Caenorhabditis elegans: one gene and its partners. The protein of the gene in region 2 purifies or fractionates together with the protein of the main gene of each other region. This does not show direct contact. Each region holds a gene or a part of one and is shown on either strand. Other genes may lie near its edges.

The links. Proteins that work in one complex are often made in the same cells at the same time.
Region 1: the proteins of nft-1 (region 2) and dpf-4 fractionate together in Caenorhabditis elegans (co-fractionation; one large-scale study listed by BioGRID). This does not show direct contact.
Region 3: the proteins of nft-1 (region 2) and semo-1 fractionate together in Caenorhabditis elegans (co-fractionation; one large-scale study listed by BioGRID). This does not show direct contact.

The regions. Positions count from the first base shown.
Region 1 is NC_003281.10:5,857,441-5,862,444, reverse strand, and holds dpf-4 (Peptidase S9 prolyl oligopeptidase catalytic domain-containing protein), read right to left. Parts: upstream 3,138-5,004; 5' UTR 3,100-3,137; intron 2,833-3,099; 5' UTR 2,814-2,832; coding exon 2,455-2,813; intron 2,398-2,454; coding exon 1,899-2,397; intron 1,762-1,898; coding exon 1,145-1,761; intron 1,091-1,144; coding exon 634-1,090; 3' UTR 537-633; downstream 1-536. Other genes in the region: dnpp-1 (Aspartyl aminopeptidase), read left to right, coding at 1-313, 361-454; alh-9 (Putative aldehyde dehydrogenase family 7 member A1 homolog), read right to left, coding at 3,496-3,700, 3,749-4,474, 4,523-4,980.
Region 2 is NC_003281.10:11,922,313-11,929,891, reverse strand, and holds nft-1 (Nitrilase homolog), read right to left. Parts: upstream 6,007-7,579; 5' UTR 6,003-6,006; coding exon 5,955-6,002; intron 4,898-5,954; coding exon 4,802-4,897; intron 4,644-4,801; coding exon 4,488-4,643; intron 4,442-4,487; coding exon 4,286-4,441; intron 3,140-4,285; coding exon 2,830-3,139; intron 1,231-2,829; coding exon 1,006-1,230; intron 943-1,005; coding exon 767-942; intron 715-766; coding exon 559-714; 3' UTR 514-558; downstream 1-513. Other genes in the region: dolk-1 (dolichol kinase), read left to right, coding at 1-3; Y56A3A.22 (DUF1279 domain-containing protein), read right to left, coding at 6,205-6,370, 7,006-7,166. UniProt on the Caenorhabditis elegans protein: Cleaves A-5'-PPP-5'A to yield AMP and ADP.
Region 3 is NC_003282.8:14,049,217-14,057,235, reverse strand, and holds semo-1 (Methanethiol oxidase), read right to left. Parts: upstream 6,037-8,019; 5' UTR 6,015-6,036; coding exon 5,841-6,014; intron 5,742-5,840; exon of another isoform or gene 5,721-5,741; intron 5,443-5,720; exon of another isoform or gene 5,422-5,442; intron 5,401-5,421; coding exon 5,303-5,400; intron 5,288-5,302; exon of another isoform or gene 5,267-5,287; intron 5,241-5,266; exon of another isoform or gene 5,219-5,240; intron 4,962-5,218; exon of another isoform or gene 4,941-4,961; intron 4,869-4,940; exon of another isoform or gene 4,844-4,868; intron 4,776-4,843; coding exon 4,405-4,775; intron 4,328-4,404; exon of another isoform or gene 4,307-4,327; intron 4,253-4,306; coding exon 4,050-4,252; exon of another isoform or gene 3,585-4,049; intron 3,500-3,584; exon of another isoform or gene 3,475-3,499; intron 3,412-3,474; exon of another isoform or gene 3,391-3,411; intron 3,265-3,390; exon of another isoform or gene 3,244-3,264; intron 3,068-3,243; exon of another isoform or gene 3,046-3,067; intron 2,928-3,045; exon of another isoform or gene 2,907-2,927; intron 2,742-2,906; exon of another isoform or gene 2,721-2,741; intron 2,704-2,720; exon of another isoform or gene 2,683-2,703; intron 2,441-2,682; exon of another isoform or gene 2,420-2,440; and 20 more.

The DNA of each region.
Region 1 (5,004 bases), 6.1 Mb from region 2:
AGAGCATGCTCATCTCTGCAGATCAAGCTCATGCCACGCATCCAAACTATTCGGCAAAACACGAAGAGAACCATCGTCCAGCATTCCATGGTGGAGTCGTCGTCAAAGTAAACGTCAATCAACGATATGCAACAACTTCAACCACACACGCTGCTCTCAAGCAAGTTGCATTCGAAGCTCAAGTTCCTCTTCAAGTTGTCGTCGTTCGCAATGATTCTCCTTGTGGATCGACGGTTGGACCGATTCTTGCCACAAAACTTGGCTTGCAGACTGTCGATGTAGGATGCCCACAGTTGGCTATGCACTCGATTCGGTAGGGATTTAACTTTTAAATCACATCATTTATTTTCTTGATTTCAGCGAGTTTGCCGACACTTCGAGCATCTACCAGGCCACCACTCTCTACTCTACATTCTACGAACGTCTGTCAACTGTCCTCTCCAACATGCAATAGGCAAATCAATGTTGATCCTTCCCAATCATAATTTCTACTATTTAATCGCGTCGTGATATCCAATCTTCAGTTTCTCTGTGAATATTAATTTCTATAATTTATTTGGTTTTCAAATAAATAAAGCAATGCATTTTTTAAAAGCTGAAATTTTATAGATAACAATTTAAACAAAAACAAATCTAATGCTTCGGATTAACAATTTCGATCTTCGAACTAATTGATGGTTCAATTCCAACGGCCTTCATCAAAAAGTAGAAAGTGGCTTCGGTGCTTTCCTTGATCACTTGTCCATTCCTAAATCCATGTCCTTCTCCATCGAAAAGCATCAGAGCAGTTGTAACTCCACTAGCACGGATCTTCTCATACATTGTGATAGATTGGCTCATCGGTACTACCGTATCCTCCCTTCCATGCAAGAATGCAATAGGAGTTCTAATTTTATCAATATGATAAATGGGACTTCTTTCTTCGTAAATGCTCGCTTGCTCAGGATATTTTCCGATAAGCATCTCATTGTAACATCTTTCCAGTTTATGAGTATCTTCATCTAAAGCCAATAGATCAGCAACTCCATACACAGAAACTGCTGCTTTTATGATATTTTTCGGTGAGATAAGACAGCTCAGAATCAGATACCTGAATAAAAATATTTATAAAACTTTAACAATGACTATAATATTAAATTCCTACCCTCCAGATGAACTTCCAGTGATCAGAACTTTTTCGGCATCCACTTTTCCTTGCTCAACAAGTGCTTTTGCTCCATTCAACATATCATCTCTATCAGCTACTCCACAATTTTTATAAAGCATTCTCCGGAATTCAGTTCCAAATCCAGTTGATCCTCGATAATTTACATCAAAAACAGCAATACCTCTCGACGTGAAGAACTGTTTTTTAAGATCCAAATTATTCTGAGCTGGAGCCGTCGGGCCACCATGTCCGAGAAGTAAAACTGGAGGAAGTGTTCCAGCTGGAGCAGAATATGAACAGTTTTTCGGTGGATAAAAATAACCAGAAACATCAACTCCATCCGATTTGAACACAAATTCTTCTGGTTCCGAAATCTCGAGAGCGTCGATTTCCGAAGAATCTCGGGATTCGCGATGAACTTTTAATGGGAAATTTTTGTTCGCGAGATCGATGGAAATAACGCTTGAAGCTCGTTTTGGTCCAGAAGCAATTGCGAAAAGATCAGAACCATTCTGGTCGAGTGAAAGATATCCAAATACAGTATAGCCTGGAGTTGGAATCTCTACAGTAACATCTCCCGATCGGACATACAAAATTCCGTCTGCGTTCATTACCTGAAATATTTAAATTTCATTAGGTCAATTTAAAAATTCGAATTTTTGTGTTTAGTTCAACTAATTATATTGAAAATTGTAAACTTAGGTTTAAAATATTTGAAGAATGTTTTGAATTTCCAATCTAAAATTCTCACCAAATATTTTTTATTCAGAACATAATTTCTGAAACCAAGCTGCCAAAGCGGGTAGCTGATCTCTCGTTGAATTGGATTCAGGTTCTTCTCGACGGAATTTGGCTCTGCAGCTGATTTATACACATTCCACCAGTTTGTGCTATCATTCACAGTTAAAAGCTCATCACCATCCCAAGTTGGTTCGGAATAGTTGATTTGTTTTCCAGTTCCGTCCTTCAGCGTCACCTCATTGCTGGATTCTCCACCTTTGAGATCAGCCATTCGGATGGATGTCTCGTCCCATGGCATATTTGGAAGGCTCCATTGCATCCAGACAAGCTTTTTTCCATCCGGGGAGACTCTTGGATAGGCGTAAAAGTCGGCTCCGTGAGCTATGACGTTTTGATTCTTGGTTGCTCGGTCGATGGAGATTAGTCGATTTTCGGGAAATTTTGCATCAGCTTGGTGGGTTTCATTAACACAAAATACATGGGTGTCAGTGGCTGAGAAGTCGGAGAATCTGAAAATGTTTTTTATTTATTTTTGAAAGTTATACACCATTTAAATTATCCCTGACCTAAACATTCGATTATTTCCTTCTGCCAATTGCTCAACTCCGGAATCCGCCGACTTTTGATAGAAAACTCCTTCGATCGTAGCAAACAGCACTGATCCATCAGCAAGAACATGTAGAGCACCTCCTCCGTACTCGTGAATTGCAGTTTGAACAGATTGACCATCAGCCCAGCGTGTACGAGTATCTCCATTCGTTGGTTTTGAGTAAAGCTCTCGTTTTCCAGTTACTGAATTCTGTTCAATCCAGTAGACATTGCCACCGACAACTTGCATCTCGCAGATAGACTTGCAATTACATTTTCCGAAGAGATCTGGTGTGATCGGACTATCCCAACTTCCGTAGACAGCTTCAGTTGCCATTTTTCGGGCACTTTTTATGCTGTAAAAATAGTTATTTTAAGAGAAAAATAAATATATTCGAGATAAATTCGTCAATATTTACAATGAAAGCGTTTTTGTAATTGTGAGGTTTGTTTGTTTCCAAAACAATCAATAAAATTCAATTTGACAGACTTTCTAAGTGGATTAGTTTAAAGTTGTTTAAAAACATTTTTAGAAAAAACTCTTAATTTATAAAACAGGCATCACCTAAACATACAAAAATGCCATCATTATAATAATTGTATTTAAAAAAAGTAAAACTTGCGTTGGGGCAGAAAACAAGCGGAAGATTCGGAGAAGAATCTGCGTGAAATTGAATTTATAGTTTTAGGAAATGACTTAAAGTGATGAAACCAATCAGCTTATCGGTTTTCAAGTATGCGTACGGTTTTTCACCAGTCTCGTCAATTTTATGACATATATGCTGAAAATATGTTGCACTTTATTTTGTGGAATGAATAAAAAAGGAAGTTTATTGAACAAACATTAAAAAAAAAACTAAGCATTTGGAATGATATGGCACAAAAATTCAAATCACAAAAGGAGAGGACAAGAGTTGAATTACACGCAATTTTAGAACGGAACTGAGAATAATTATGCATGAAAAAAAAACATCTCAAATTGAATGAGAAATGAATATTTACAGAAAATCTAAACTAAGCTATTCGAATTTAATTCCCTGAGCCAAAGGAAGTTCCTTGCTGTAATTGATCGTGCAGGTGGATCGTCTCATGTACTGCCTCCAGGAGTCGGATCCTGATTCGCGACCTCCACCGGTCTCCTTTTCTCCGCCGAAGGCTCCTCCGATCTCTGCGCCAGATGTGGGAATGTTGACATTGACGATTCCACAGTCACTTCCTTTTGGTCTGAAAATTAAATGTTAGTTTTAAATTCACAATTTCAGAAAATCTCACCCCATCCATTTGAAAACATTTTGAATATTTGTTGTAAATAGAGAAGAACTCAATCCTTGATCAACTTCATTATTGATTGCAATAGCTTCCTCGAGGGTTGAGAACTTCAGAACATAGAGAATTGGGGCAAAAGTCTCGCGAAGAACAACTGGAGAATCGTGCTTCAATCCAGTGACAATTGTTGGGAGAACAAAGTTTCCATCCCTCTCAAGAACTTTTCCACCGTACTCAATCTTTCCTCCAGAAGCAACTGCTTCGGCAACTGAAGCCTTGTACTTTCCAACGGCCTGTTGGTTGTGAAGTGGGCCAATAATTGTGTTGGAATCCAATGGACATCCGATTCTTGATTCAAATTGAGCATAAGCTTTCTTCAATCTCTCGAGAACTTGATCGTAAACCTTATCGTGAACAATGAGTCTTCTCGTGGTTGTACATCTCTGTCCAGCAGTTCCAACGGCGGCGAAAACTGTTGCCGGTACAACCATGTTCAAATCAGCATCCTCGTTAACAATGATAGCATTGTTTCCACCGAGCTCGAGTAGAAGCTTTCCGAAACGAGCCTGAACTTGTTGTCCAACGATCTTTCCAATTTCTGATGAACCGGTGAATGAAACTAGATTGACTCTCTTATCCTTCACAAGAGCTTGACCGACATCACCCTCTCCACAGACAAGGGAACAGAGAGCTGGATTTACATTATTGGCAACAAGAACCTCCTCGACAAGTCTGAAAATAGTTATTTAGTGATTACAATTATGAAATAAGCGAGCTTACTTGGTCACAGCAATAGCTGTCAATGGTGTGGATGGAGCTGGCTTCCAGACAACAGAATTTCCTGTGACAAGAGCTAAAGCGTTATTCCATCCATACACTGCACATGGGAAATTGAAAGCCGAAATCACACCAACAACTCCAAGTGGATTCCATTGTTCGAGAAGAGCGTGTCCTGGACGCTCAGAAGGAAAGATTTTTCCTTCAAGTGATCTAGAGAGTCCAGTAGCGTAGTCGCAAATATCGACGTATTCTTGAACTTCTCCAACTCCTTCGGCAGAAATTTTTCCCATCTCGAGGGACACGAGCTTTCCCAGGTTTTGCAACTGCGTACGGAGCTTGTCTCCGATTTGACGGACGATTTCTCCACGTCGTGGTGCTGGTACCTCGCACCAATCGTTATAAGCCTTTTTAGCTTCAGAGATGGCGATTTCATAGTCTTGTACGTTTCCATTTTGTACCTGGAATTTGAAAGTTTTAAAACG
Region 2 (7,579 bases):
TGACTAACCGCTAGATATCACATTTTCTAATTAATTGTTTAATATATTACCTATATGCGAAATTTTGGGATTTTGGCGCCGAAAGAACGGTACCGGGTCTCGACACGAAACAAAATATTTCATTGAATGCGGTGCGCCTTTAAATGAGTACTCATTTCGGCTTGATCTACGTAGATCTACAAAAAATGCGGCAGAGTTCTCAACTGATTTCGCATGGTTAAGAACGTGTTGACGTCACATTTTTAAGGGCAAAAAATTCCCGCATTTTTTTGTAGATCAAACCGTGTTGGGACAGCCTGGCACCACGTGATGAGCACTGTAATTTCAAATTTCCGTTGCTGTCGATTTTTATCGATTTTTATTTTTATGATGAAAAATCCATGAAAATTCCGAGTTTTTAGCGCAAAATCGCAGTACCACTTTCGGGTTCATATGCTTGTAATTCATTCCGAACATGTAGATTTTTTTCACTTTTCTCCCCGTTTCTCTGTACTTGTATTTCAAAATATTATAATAATAATCTATTTATTCATAAATATAATAATCACACAATTGTTTCTACATAAGATTTCTATACACCACCGCTTCTTCTGCCATCTGTTCATTGGATCGTGGCTTTCGCTCGGGCTCCTTATCATGTGACGCAAGTTTTTGGTAGATTTCGTTATCGCCAAAGTCTCCGGCGCGGCGGGGAAGGATATGAATGTGAACGTGCTGAAAATGTTCAAAATTAAATTGGTAAAATGCTGCGGAAAAAAGCCCGTACTGGAACAGTCTGCCCAGCATCCTTCCCATCTTGCACACAAATCGTCGTCGACGTCACATTATGATGCTTCTCCAGCATTGCTTGAACCTTTTTCGCGACGATGAACAAGTCGGCAGTCTCAGCATCAGTCAAGTCGGTCAATCTTGGGACTACTCGTTTTGGGCTTACAAGAACGTCTGAAAATGGGGGAAATTAGCTTAATTTTAATTTTTTTTTTAAATAAATAATTTCACACTAACGTCCATCAGTGACTGGTTTCAAGTTGACAAATACAAATGAGTGCGGAGTACTGTAGAAAATATGATCAGCTGGAATATTGAATCGGGCGAATTTCAGGCCACCAGTTTCAGAAGATTTTTCATTTATGTGAAGTGTGTAGAGATCGGAGCGTCTGTGGGAGAATACTGGTTGCATTTCACGAAGAGTGTCCACGTAGCTCAAGTCGATTTCAGCAAAGCACATGTCTGAAAAATATTGATTTTTGTTTAATTTTAGTAAAAATCGATAATTTTTCTATTAATAAGCTTGTCTAATGTTTTAAAGAATTTTTAGAATTTCTTAAAATTTTCTGGAAATTTCTACTTTTTTTTGAGTTTTCTAGATTTTTTAGAATCAAAAAAAGGTCCGACTTTTCTTAAATTTTCTAGAATTTTCTAAATTTGTTTAAAATTTGTTTAGATTTATTTTTTAATTCTAGAATCTTCTCGAATTTCTTAGAATTTTCCGGACATTTCTAAAAAATTTCTAATTTTTTTCTTAAATTTTCTAGAATTTACTAATTTTTTAGAATTTTCCAGATATATTTTTTTAATTCTAGAATTTTGATTTATATAGAATTTTTTAGAATTTTTCAAAGAATTTACCAGAGATTTCTAAGAAAATTCAAAATTTTTTTGAATTTTCTAGATTTTTTAGAATTAAAAAAAAAGGTCCGACCTTTCTTGAATTTTCTAGAATTTTCTAAAAGGGATTAGAATTTTTTTTTCAATTCTAGAATTATCTAGATTTTTTCAGAATTTTTTTAGAATTTACTAGATATGTCTAAGAAAATTCAATTTTTTTTAAAATTTTCTAGATGTTTTAGAATTAAAAAAATTTCACAAACTTTTCAAAAAAAAATTTTTTTTTCAATGTTCTAAAATTCTCTAGTTTTCAAATCTTTTTTAGAATTTTCTAAAAAATTTCAGAGTTTTTGAGAAAGTTTTGAAAAATTTTTTTAGCATTAAAGAATTGAAATATGTCAGATTTTTCTGAAATTTTCTAGAACTTTCTAGATTATTTTTATAATAAATTTTTTTTTTAAAAGAACGTTCAATTCTAGAACTTTCAAAAAAAAATTCCAAAATAACCATAAAATTTTAGATTTTTTTTTATTTTTCAATGATTTCTACATATTACAGGAACCCTAAATTCTGAGAATACGTATTGCACAACATATTTGACGCGCAAAATATCTCGAAGCGAAAACTACAGTAATCCTTTAAATGACTACTGTAGTGCTTGTGCCGATTTACGGGTTCAATTTTTTAAATGAATCGATTTATCGCTAGAGTACTTAATTAAGCGAAAATTGAGAAAATTCATTTCAAAAATGAAGCCCGTAAACCGACAAAAGCGCTACAGTAGTCATTTAAAGAATTACTGTAGTTTTCGCTACGAGATATTTTGCGCGTCAAATATGTTGTGCAATACGCATTCTCAGAATTTAGTGTTTCTGTAATACAAATCATTGAAAAATTTGAAAACAATGGCACAAAAAACGGAATTTTAGAAAATTATAGGAAAATTCTAGAAATTTTTCGAAATTTAAAGCCTTTTTTTAATTCCTGAAAAGGTTTTTACTTTTTTTGAATTTTCTAGAATTTTTTAGATATATTTTTAAATATTCTAGAGATTTCTAGAATTTCTTCAAATTTCCAGAATTTTTAGAATTTTCTAGATTTTTTCCTAATTTTTTAAGAATTTTTTTTCCAATTTTCTTTTAGAAAATTTAGCACTTTCTAGGCTTTTCTAAAAAATTTTAGACTTAAAAAATGTTTTAAGTTTTTCAGAATATTCCGCACCAACTCTCTCGGAACACTGTGCAACAACAGCGCCCCACGGATCAACAACCATCGAATGCCCATAAGACTGTCGTTTCGGATTGTGGGCCCCAGTTTGAGCAGCCGCCACCACATAGCACTGATTCTCGATTGCCCGGGCACGAAGCAGAGTTTCCCAGTGAGCAAGACCTGTATTCAGTGTGAATGCACTTGGAAATGAGAGCAGTTGGGCGCCGCGTTTACGGTTCCACAAGGACAGCTCTGGGAAGCGAACGTCGTAGCAAATTGAGAGTCCGAGACGTCCGATAGGGGTGTCAACTGGAGGAATCATCTGGAACTCGGAGTAGACAGACAAATTGCCGGAATCGAAGATTTCTGGCAAATCGACAAATTGCCGGAATTGAAAATTTCTGGCAAATCGGCAAATTGCCGGAATTGAAAATTTCTGGCAAATCGGCAAATTGCCGGAATTGAAAATTTCTGGCAAATCGGCAAATTGCCGGAATTGAAAATTTCTGGCAAATCGACAAATTGTCGGAATTGAAAATTTCCGGCAAATTAACAAATTGCCGGAATTGAAAATTTCTGGCAAATCGGCAAATTGTCGGAATTGAAAATTTCTGGCAAATCGACAAATTGCCGGAATTGAAAATTTCTGGCAAATCGGCAAATTGCCGGAATTGAAAATTTCTGGCAAATCGACAAATTGTCGGAATTGAAAATTTCCGGCAAATTAACAAATTGCCGGAATTGAAAATTTCTGGCAAATTGGCCAAATTGCCGGAATTGAAAATTTCTGACAAATTGGCTAAATTGCCGGAATTGAGAATTTCCGGCAAATTAACAAATTGCCGGAATTGAAAATTTCTGGAAAATTGGCCAAATTGCCGGAATTGAAAATTTCTGACAAATTGGCTAAATTGCCGGAATTGAAAATTTCTGGAAAATCCACAAATTGTCGGAATTGAAAATTTCCGGCAAATTGGCCAAATTGCCGGAATTGAGAATTTCTGGCAAATCGACAAATTGCCGGAATTGAAAATTTCTGGCAAATTGGCCAAATTGTCGAAATTGAGAATTTCTGGCAAATCGACAAATTGCCGGAATTGAAAATTTATGGCAAATCGACAAATTGTCGGAATTGAAACTTTCCGGCAAATTGGCCAAATTGCCGGAATTGAAAATTTCTGGCAAATCGGCAAATTGTCGGAATTGAACATTTCTGGCAAATCGACAAATTGCCGGAATTGAAAATTTCTGGCAAATCGGCAAATTGTCGGAATTGAAAATTTCTGGCAAATCGACAAATTGCCGGAATTGAAAATTCATGGCCAATCGACAAATTGCCGGAATTGAAAATTTCCGGCAAATTGGCCAAATTGCGGAATTGAAAATTTCCGGAAAATTGGTCAAATTGCCGGAATTGAAAATTTCTGGCAAATCGGCAAATTGCCGGAATTGAAAACTTAAAAAAAACCTCAGTGCCAGCCTTGCTGAACTCGCTCTCCATCAATCGTACTTTTCCAGGAATCTCCAAATCGAAGAGGTGAAGCTTGTTGTACTCAGCACGAGTTACTCCATCGGAATCTATGATCAGATGGGTGTTCCATGGATGAGCAGCGTCTGATGGATCCTAAACTTCTGAAGTTCAGCCATTATTAATTTTTTCAAGTATTAACCTTGTGATGAAGGCCTCCTAGTGAAAGCCAAATATTGTGTTTTCTCGCCAACTCCCGATATTTTTCCATATATTCACAGTCCGTAGCCATCGCCAAATCGATTTGCTCATTTTTGTTGAGCCCAATGAAATCGAAGCATTCTGGTAGGAAAACCATCTGGAAACATTTTTTTTACATGATTTTAAAAATTATTCGATTTATGATTAAAATTGCCACATTTTTCGGAATTTTCGAAATTTTTTTTTCCTATTTTTAATCCAAAAATTCCCGTTTTTTCGACGGCAGCTTTGCTCCGGGAGCCGTAGAATTTTTACCTCGCACTTCTTTTCTCCGGCTCTTTCGATCATATTTTTCGCGGCTTGAAAGTTCTTTTCCAGATCGTTGTCGCTTGTCATTTGACATACTGCGATCTGAAAATATTCTTGGTTCGCAAAAATTTGGAAAAAAACTTATTTTTTTGGGTCTCGAAACGACCGAATTTTGGGAAACGCGGATTTCTGGCTTCCCTCATAAATTGAAATGGAACAGTTTTGCTGAACTAGGCCATTTTGGCTCGGTCATATCTGGGGTAGATTTACGGCGCGTTGCGTGTCGCGTCGCGACTCGATTGTAAAACTAAATGTATTTGTCCGTGTGGAGTCCTGCAGGCGATTATCAATGGAGCGCGAAAAAATCAATGAGGAAGGCCAGAACCCCGTGAAAAATTCGCAGAAAAAACTGAAAAATTGGAAAAATATTTTTTTTCAAAAATACCATTTAAAACTATCCCAATTTTGATAAAAAAGTTTATAAAATCCAAATTTAACTAAAATTTCGTATTTTGCGCGAAAATTACGGTACCCGGCGGGTCTCGACACGACAATTTTTCGTTGAGGGGTGCGCCTTTAAAGAGAGGTACTGTAGCTTCAAACTTTCGTTTTTTTCGGAATTTTTATCGACTTTTCATAGTTTTTAAACAAATCGATAAAAAAGTTTAAAACTACAGTACTAAATTTGTCAATTTGCCGGAAATGCTCCATAACGGCAACTTGCCAATTTGCCGGAAATTTTCATTTTCGACAAATTGCCGGTTTGTCGATTTGCCGGAAATGTTCAAAAGCGGCAACTTGCCAATTTGCCGGAATTTTTTAGTTCCGGCAATTTGTGAATTTGCCAGAAATTTTCATTGCCGCCAAATTGCCGGTTTGCTGATTTGCCAGAAATTTTAATTTCCAGCAATTTGCCAATTTGCCGGAAATGTTCAAAAGCGGCAAATTACCTGCAGGTCTCACCACGAAAATTTTTGCTACATGTTTTTTTAATAATGCGCCTTTAAAGAGTGGTACTGTAGCTTCAAACTTTCGGAATTTTTTAAATCGATTTTTCATAGTTTTTTTCAAAACAACTCGATTAAAAAAAAAATTTTTTTTCTAATTTGTCGTGTCGAGACCCAGAAATTTCTGGAAAAAAAACCCCCGAAAATCTTACAAAATGCCGTCCAGTCGCCATTGTTCGCCGAAAAACTGTGCTCAGCATGCGGCTGTATAACAAGGAAATCAATTGAAAATTAATTTTCTAGTGTTTTTTGGCAATAATAATTAGGGAAAATGACCAGATTTATGAATAAAAAGTTAAAGCCAAATTTTTCGGGGGGAAAAATCAATTTATACACACTCGGAAGCACCCTAACAGAAGAAAAAACAGTCTAAAAAACACTGAAAAATAATATCTAATTAGATTAATCATCCTTCTTTTTATTATTATTATTATCATGGAGTTTCGTCGTCGTCGGCTCATTGAGCTTCTCATGCTCCTTCTGTAATCGTTGAACTTGTCCAATATGAGCAGTTGTCGCGTGAACACTGTTCTTACGGCTCACACTTCGAACTCCAAGGTGGCGATAGCTGGAAAATATGGAAAATTTTGGGGGTTTTTCAGTGAAAAATAGCCCGAAAAATTGGATTTTTAGCCAAAATCTTCAATTTCTGTCACTTTTTCCTTGAATTTTACTGATTTTTGTGCCAATTTCGATCAAAATAGAGCCTATATAGGCTTAAAAACGCGTAAAAACTACCAAAATCGAGCTTTAAAGCAGCGCCGCACAGAAAAAGATGCGGAGCGTATTTTTGCAACCCTGCGGCACGATTTTTTCCTCCTTTTTGAAAAATTGATCTTTTCCAATAAAATTTCGATTTCACTAGTTTTATTCACTTTTTTCGAAAAATGTGAATAAAACTAGTAAAATCGAAATTTTATTGAAAAAAAAAACCTTTTTTTAAAAATGAGGAAAAAACCGTGCCGCAGGGTTGCGAAATTACGCTCCGCCTCTTTTTCTGTGCGATGCTGCTTTAGGGCTCGATTTTGGTCATTTTTACGCGTTTTTAGGATTATTAAGGCTCTATTTCGACCAAAATTGGCATAAAATCGGTGAAATTCGACATGGAAATTTTGCCAAAATTGGGAATTTTAGAAGAATTTAGCCACAAAAATGTGTTTTTTTTGTCAAAAAATGGATTTTTCCCCTAAAAAAAATGCTCACCGATACCAGCGTCGTCCGTAATGTGCCTTATTCAGCTCATATTCACTTCGGACCTTGTACTCGACTTCTCGAGCGGTCTTCAGTTTTCCCAATCTTCGGAGAGTCCAGAAAGTGGCTTGAATGAGCAAAAGTGTCGTCATGTAGCGGAATGGCATTGCGATCTGAAAATTTAAATTTTTATTATTACACATACGCGAAAAAATACATTTTTTTGGAAAAAAAAATTATTTTTCTGGTTAAATTCTGCTAAAATTCGTAATTTTTTGGCAACATTTCCACGTCTTTTGTAGTATTACATATACAAAAATACTGTAATTGGTCTCGACACGATAACATTTTTTCTTCAATGTAAAAAAGATGTGCGCCTTTAAAGATTACTGTAGTTTTACTTGTTGTAATTTTCTTTGTTCTTCGTGAGAAATATTAAAAAATCGATGAAACTCCACAAAGTTTGAAACTACAGTACTCTTTAAAGGCGCACACCTTTTTAACATTGAAGAATTTCGCGTCTGTGTAATAACCAGGGCTTCCCTTTTTGTTCCTTTTTTCTTTAAAAAATTAGTTTTTTCAATAA
Region 3 (8,019 bases), on a different chromosome or scaffold from region 2:
CATTTAGTTCGAGTGATCATCTTTTTTGAGTTTTCATTTTTGAGATATTCAGAAAAGTTGTAGGTCATTTGAATCAAATGTCTTTCATTTTTAAAACTTATAAACACACAGTGAAACTGAAAATAATTTTGTTTTTGAAAAGGATTATTTGGAAAGGTGACAAAACTGTTTTGAAAACAATTAATTTTGGCTCAGACGGGTTTAGTTTGCAGGAACTTTGTTAGTTTTCCACTACTGTCTATTCATATAATGAACTGAACAAAAAATCAAAAATGAAAAAGACAATCGATAAAAGGAGCCAGTTTTTATTGAGGAGAATTCCGGATGTTCATATATTTTCTTCCTACTTTCTAATCCATAATTTTTTTGTGCAATTCTACTAAATTCCCGTGATTTCAACTCGCCACATTCTTTGTACCATATATGATGATTGCTTCGTTCACATTACAAAAATCCCCTTTTTTCAATATTTATTCGCCTGGTTTCCCCCGTTTTTCTAGTTGCATCATGAGTTGAAAAATCCTTTCAATTTTTTTTTGAAAATCTGAATGAATTGTGATGAATATGTACAAGCTAATTTTTTATGCAAAACATTTTAAAAAAAACCAAATTAAATCCAAATATCCGATGTACAATCTCCACCGGGATAACGCATCTCGTGAGCCAAATAGGGACCTCCTTCAATTTTTCCAAAATCGATCAAAAAGTCTCGATTTATTTCCATTTTTCCAGATTCTGGATCAATGTTGACTTGAACCATTGTGGCGCCAGATCTGAAAAATGACAGGGTTGCAAACGCGCTCCATTGAGAAAGTAGGACGAATTTGGTGTTTTTTTTTTGAAATTATCATGAATTATTAAGCGGACGAAAAGAAACATTACCAAGTCTCGACGTGACTATTTTTTCAACGGAAAACGTGTGTGCGCCTTTAAAGAGTAGTGTAATTTCAAACTTTCGGTGCTGCAGCTATTGAACTGTTTTATCGATTTCTCATAGTTGTTCTTTTTTTTAAAAATTATTTAGACTAGAAAAACAAAGAAAAACATGAATTCGTGATAAAATCAACTCAGCAAGTGAGAGAGAATCGCTGCAAATATGAAAGATTTTTGAAACGGTGATTTTTTTTCTAAACAATAATTTCACCATGAGCGTATTTTTAGTGTAAACTACAAAATTCGAGATAATTTGTTTCGTAAGGACAAAGGTTCAATGAATAAAATGAATAAAAAAGAATTACATTTCGCGAATAGCCCCACAAGTGAGCGGAAATAGTTTGCTCAAAATATACTACATTTATGAAACGGTAACTTTTTTCTCAGAAATAATTCTAAATTTTTTCATAAGTAGCACTCACTTGACATGTTCTGGATAGAATTGATCATCCCATTTCTTGTATAAAGAAGTTGTAACATAAAGTCTCTTTCCATCCAATGACAACTGTAACATCTGTGGACCTCCTTCAATTTTCCGTCCCTTCACATAAAGTGCTTCAATTGGTTTTTCACCTTCTAGAACTTTTACATTTGATTCCGTATGTACACTTCCTCCAATATAAACTTGAGAATTCAATTTCACCTTCAATGGATCAGAAATGTCATATTGACGAATATCTCCATGAAGCCAACACGAGACATACAGGAAACGATCATCCATTGAGATAAGGATATCAGTTATAAGAGCTGGCATTTCTGGAAGAGCCCATCCACTTACTTTTTTAGAAGGAATGAAGGCAACGAGAGTAGCTGCATGGGTTGTTGAGTTCTGGAATTATTTGAAAAATTGAATGTTTCTCATTCAACGTATCACTGAAGATTTGTTTTCAGTAGTATTCAACAAACATTTGGCAACTATTTTCATACTGACTATCAGAATTTTGAGATTTTACAAGAAAAAAAATACAAAGTGTGTTAAAAGAACACCTCGAGAACAGGAAAGAAGCAACTTTTCTGAAAAACTTTATTTTCAAAAAGAGGTTATCGCGAACTGTCGAAATAAGTGTAGGTATATGCGCTGCCAAAATTATATTAACTTTTTGAAACAGTAAATTTTATGTTTTTTTGTAATTTTGCCTGAAAAGTTGGTGGCCATTCACAAAAAATAAATTTTTTGATCGAGCTTTTTTGTTTCAAGGGCACACTGCTGAAGTGGATATAATTTTATTTAAAACGTAATTTTTGTTTTCAAAAGTTTACACGAAAATCTACTGTTTCAACAAACTCATTTAACATCTCGCTAGAAAATTGTTTTCAATTGAACTGTGGCGTGACTTATCGACTGTTCTAAAAGAGCTTTAAAAATCATGAGACATTTAATGTTTCGATTGGCTGATTAAATGTTTCAAGTTGAACAAGGTGTCAATTTTTTAAAATTATATGTTTCAGATGATCTAGAAAACCCGGTGAGATTTCTAATTGTCACTCGAACTTGATTTCCAGTGAGACTATACTTTGCACAGAAAGGAATTTTTGTTTCGCAGCAATGCAGCAGAAGCAGAGATAATTTTACTTAAATCTGAAATCGGTTTTTTTTTCAAAAATTTAATAAAAAAGTCTATAACTCATTAAACATCTTACTTGAAAATTATTTGATTGCATTGACATTGCTAGAAAAACTAACAAAATCATAAAATTTTTAATGTTTCAATTAGCTGATTAAACGTTTTGGTTTGAATAAAGTTTCACTGAGACTATAATGTCCGCGCTTTAAAATTATTTTTTAGTGTCGAAAAAAAAATATTTTTTCTTTCTTTAATTGACCGAGTTTTCTTGATTCACAGTCACGCAGAAAAAATCGATTTGAACTTTTTGTCAAAACTAAATGCATGCTGCTTTTTAAAAAAAGGTTCATCAAAAATCTACTGTTTCACTAACCTAATTTTAAAAAACTCGGAAAAATACGTTTTTAGTATTTGCATCATTGTTAAACGTTTAATGAATCTATAAACTGATTTAAAAATAAATTATTAAAAACACTCAAAGATATTTTTTAAAAATTATTATATGTTTCAAGTAGTCTATAAATACTGAAACTATTTTGAATTAATATTGGTTCTTCCAAATGAAAAAAAAGAAAAATAGCAGTTTGGTCTACACAACTTTCTCTGAATTTCAAATTCAAATTATGCCCTAATCATGTATGCCAAAGCATTAAAGGATTTGAAATGTACGAAAGCGCTCTGATTTTCTCAAAATGTCCACATTTTTCTCGAAAGTTAGTCATTTTGCCAAAGAACTTGCTCAGAAAACTTCGGGAATGAAAAAAAATCAATTGAATAGAACGGAAGTTTTGATAACAACGTATTGAAACAATTTATTTATTTTTAAACTTGAAAGTTTCTAATGCAATGTTTCGGTGATCCCAGAAAGTTACACATCAGCTTACAACACTGCTATTCAATTACTGACAACGAAAATATCAGTACTATTGATAAATTGTCAACTCCCCCTACGAAGATCATTTATATTTGATTTCATACGTTTTTTTGGATTAGCAAATGAAATAAACTTCCAATAAGATACAATATGATAACCTATTGAAACAGTTTTCTAAAAGTTTTCTAAAAATTCTTTTCAATATTACTCACCTCCTCAACAGGATGAATTCTAAAAACCGGATCTATTTCAATAGATGACAGGAATACCAACAGAACTAAACTAAAAACAACAGAGTGTGTTATGAGGACAAATTGAAACTGAAAAGTTTTTTGAATGTTTCAATGTTTTCGTAAAATCACGGCATTGATCTCCAAAACTGTTTAACCATTTTCAATTGACTGAAACTTTTGAAAAATCAAACACTCTACTGAAGAGTTTTCATGGAATAAAATTTGAGTACTCTGGAAGAAGCAACAGTTTTGGAAACTTTGCTACCTCCCAATCAAGGATGTGCGGCAGTTCTCAAAATTTTCCGAGCTCGGCAAATTAGTTTTACAATAATTTTAATCTTGATTCTATTCTACGGTTTTAACATATTAATCTCAGTTTCTAAACAAATAATAACTTATTGAAACATTTCAATTTTTCTGAAAATTCTATTGAATATTACTCACCTCCTCAACAGGATGAATTCTAAAAATTCCTGATCCAAGAGCACATCCCACAAAAGCGTGCTCACTGGTTGGCTCATGGAGGAATCGAACTTCAAGTGGAAGTGCTCCAAGTGGCTGTGGTAGATCAATTGTTTGAAGATATTTCTTAGAGTCCCATTCGAAAATATGAACACTGTTTCCGTAGAGACCCTCTCCGACGTGAGCTGGAAAATTTCATGTTTTAAAAAAATTTGTAACTTTTTGGTTTTTAGTGATGCTGATGGCTCATGCCGCAAGGAATAATTTTAATTTTTGGTAAAATGAAACAAGAGGTGTTGAAACAGTGATTTTTTAAAAGTATTTTCAGTTTTCCCACCTGGATTAAATCCCTTTTTAATATGATTCGGTGATCCCCATTCCGTAGAAATCATCACATTTCTCCTTGGCTGGTACCAGAAATCATAGTTAAACGGAACAGTCTTCTCGTCAGCTGGCCATGTTCCTTTCGGCTCAAATGTCTTTCCATCCAACAACAAAAAGTTACCAGATGGAGTTCCATTAGCTTCTCCCAAAGTACTAATCATAATATTTCCATCGGCAAGACAATGTGAAGTATGTGGAAATGAAAGGTTTAGAGAATGAAGTTTTGATGGTTCAATTGTATGTTCAAGATAGATTTTACGCTCATTTTCTACGTTGATAATGTAGATACGGTCAGAGTTCAGGCAAGGAACGATCAAATGGGATCTGAAATTATTTAGAAATTATTCTACTGTTTTGGTTTGTTAATGAAAGTTCTCCGATCTAAAAATTTATTGATCTTTCAGTTGACTGAAATGTGAAGTTTGTAAATTCGAATTAAAAAACTGTTTCAAGAAATTGGTTCAAGTCTAACTAAATTTATAAAAATGATCTTCTCGTGAATGTCGCTCTGATCTGATTTTATTACAAAGCTTTTGCATCCGTATCAAGGGTCGTGGAAAAATTTAGGTTTATCAGTTTTTTCTTGAGAAAATCTAAAAATCAGAAAAACAAACAAGGGAGAATCTATAGATTTATCAAATATATGATGATTTTGTTTGAAGAATAAAAAAAAACATGTTATTGTGACCACTTTTTAAAAAAAAAAAGTCGGAAAACCACACTTCAAAAATGAAAATTTAATTAAAAAAATTTTTAAACAAAACTTGATGTTTCGAACAGTTGATTTAATTTTGCCACCTGTACTAATAGAGTAATAGTATCATCCTAAAACAATAAATATTTTAACTAACCTCTTCTCAGTTGGTTTGTCATGACAAGAAGAGCACGCATTCCATCCAGTATGATGGACTTCATCACCAATATGTGGCACATCAACTCGGCTGATCACCTGAAAATATTAATTTTACTGGAAAATGTTATGATTGATCGATCTCTAAATGCTAAAACTACGAGTGGATATCAATATTTTGAAACCGATAATTTTTTCAATTAAATAATAATTTTTAATTTTTACTATACAATCATATATCGTGCAAATCGATTTAAAACTCTTAAGCTTGAGATAACCTTGAAATCAGAGAGATCAAATCAAAGTTTCCTGATTTATTTTTGGCTGATGCAACAGAGATGAAAATTGCAAAATTGCAATTTTATTCCGGTAATTTGAACAATTTTTCTGATATAGAAACAGTTATTTCAAGCTTTATGGACGTGATCTACAAAAGACAATCAAAAAATTAGTTATTCCTAAAACTCAATACGTCTTTTTGAAACAGTATTTTTTTCCTCCAAACAAGAAAAAAAATCAACTTTACAAATAAAATTTACCTGACAAAAAGTGTCACTCTCTGGATTCACATCAACTGTAAAAATGGCATCAGGACCATCAGCTGCATTTGGAGCAGTCACAAATAAAACTTCTTCTCGTGGTCCTTTTATAGCATCAGCTGGAGATGCATATCCTGGACCACCATGACATTTTAAACCACAGTTTGGGGACATTTTGGTTTTTGGGATTTTTGATCTGCAAATATTGACTTTTTTTTAAAATCAAACAATATAATCAAATCAGTAGTATGGATTAAAAAGTTACATACATACAATTTTTTGCTGAATTAAACTATAGCAAAATTAAATTTTTTTCAAGTTTGACACTATTTTTGTAGCTTTGAAAACAAGTTGCACGAAAACTTTTGGGCAAACATTTTTAGCTTCAGAAAAAATTACTTTTTTTGTCACAGCTCTAAAAAGGGGAATGTAAAAATTAAAAAAAAAATACAGCGAAAATTTGTAAGTTAAAAAACTAACGCGGATGTAGCAAAACCAAAAAAAACTGAAAAATGTGAAACTTATAAACACACAGTGAAACTGAAAATAATTTTGTTTTTGAAAAGGATTATTTGGAAAGGTGACAAAACTGTTTTGAAAACAATTAATTTTGGCTCAGACGGGTTTAGTTTGCAGGAACTTTGTCAGTTTTCCACTACTCTCTATTTATATAACGAACTGAACACAAAAATCAAAAATGAAAAAGACAATCGACAACAGAAGGGGATGACATTGATAAGGTATCACTAGCTGTTCTATGTCTTATCTCTAGCAGTCATCAAGATGATTGTTCAATGAACCAACTAGAAATCTACTAGAAACACGTAGGAAATTATTCTGATACAAACTACAAGTACCGTTTCTGGTTGAGATTAATTTTTGAATTTAGAGATGAATTTGTGAACATTGTGTGACTGATTCAAAGTGCACAGATATTTTGATAACATTTTTTTTTAATTTTGGAAAACCGATCTGACTACAAAACGTGAATTTATTTGAAATTGAAAATAGTGAGTTTTTTCGTTTTTAATTTATCTTCTGATACTAGGCTTAACAGAAAAATAATAAACAATTATTCAGGGTTGTGCGCGCGACAAATTCCAAAATTTGAAGGACAAAATTATTGATGAAGATGGGATCAACTGTAAATTATTGAAAATCTCCATGAGGATTCCTTGAAACAGTAAAAAAATGTATCGCGAATATAGCAAATTTTTAGAAAAACTCAGCTTGGGTTAATTAAATTTGCAAATTTCTTATTACGTTTTCCACTAATAAAAAGGTTTAAACAACAATTTTATTTATTTTTTATTTATTTTAGGTGCTGCAAACGGCAAACGGCAAATGTCACTCGCTAAAAAAAATTGGTCGACGATGAAAAAAAAACTTTCGGCGTCTTTCAGCATGCGAAATTTTTTTTATTTTTATTTTTTTTTTATTATTGGAAATATAAACAAATTTGAATATTAAGTTGTTCATATTTCCTCATGAGAACAGTCATTCAAATCCACCTTAAGCATAAAAATCTCCACAAATATATGGGGAAATTACAGTTAATATTGCTACATGTTAATACTGTTACAATACTAATAGAAAACTCATACCAATAGTAAAATGAGGCATGTTATCAATCTTTCATTTGAATTTTATTGGATTTTCACATTGCTTCTCATTGTATTATATAAAATTTATTGAAACGCCTAATGAAGTTTTAGTGAAATAGTTAAACATTTTTTTGCAAACTTTAAGCAAACGTAAGCCGTTAATAGCTTAACTGTTAACTGGTGCAATTTTGCTTAAATTTGCAGTTTTGAAGTTTTTCTACAATCGGTAAATTTATTCACATTTCAAGTTAGTCTCGATTTGAAATGCAAGTTGAGCGCTTTTAATATGTTTTTTTCACATAAAATTTAATATTGGGGTTTTTTTCAATTTTTCCGATTTTTTAAAAACAATCAATTTTCAAAATTTCTAAGTCAAAATTTCTAATCAAGACAAATTTGGTTACAATTTTTTAAAACATTTTTTGCAAAAATTTTGGCACGGTGAAGTACGGTGTTTCAAAAAAAAGTATACAAAACAGTGAAGCAAGCAAAAGTCTGTGAATTAGACAGAAATGAAAATTTAAAAATACATAAAACTGAAGCGCAACGGTGGGAAATTTGTAAACCGCCTAATA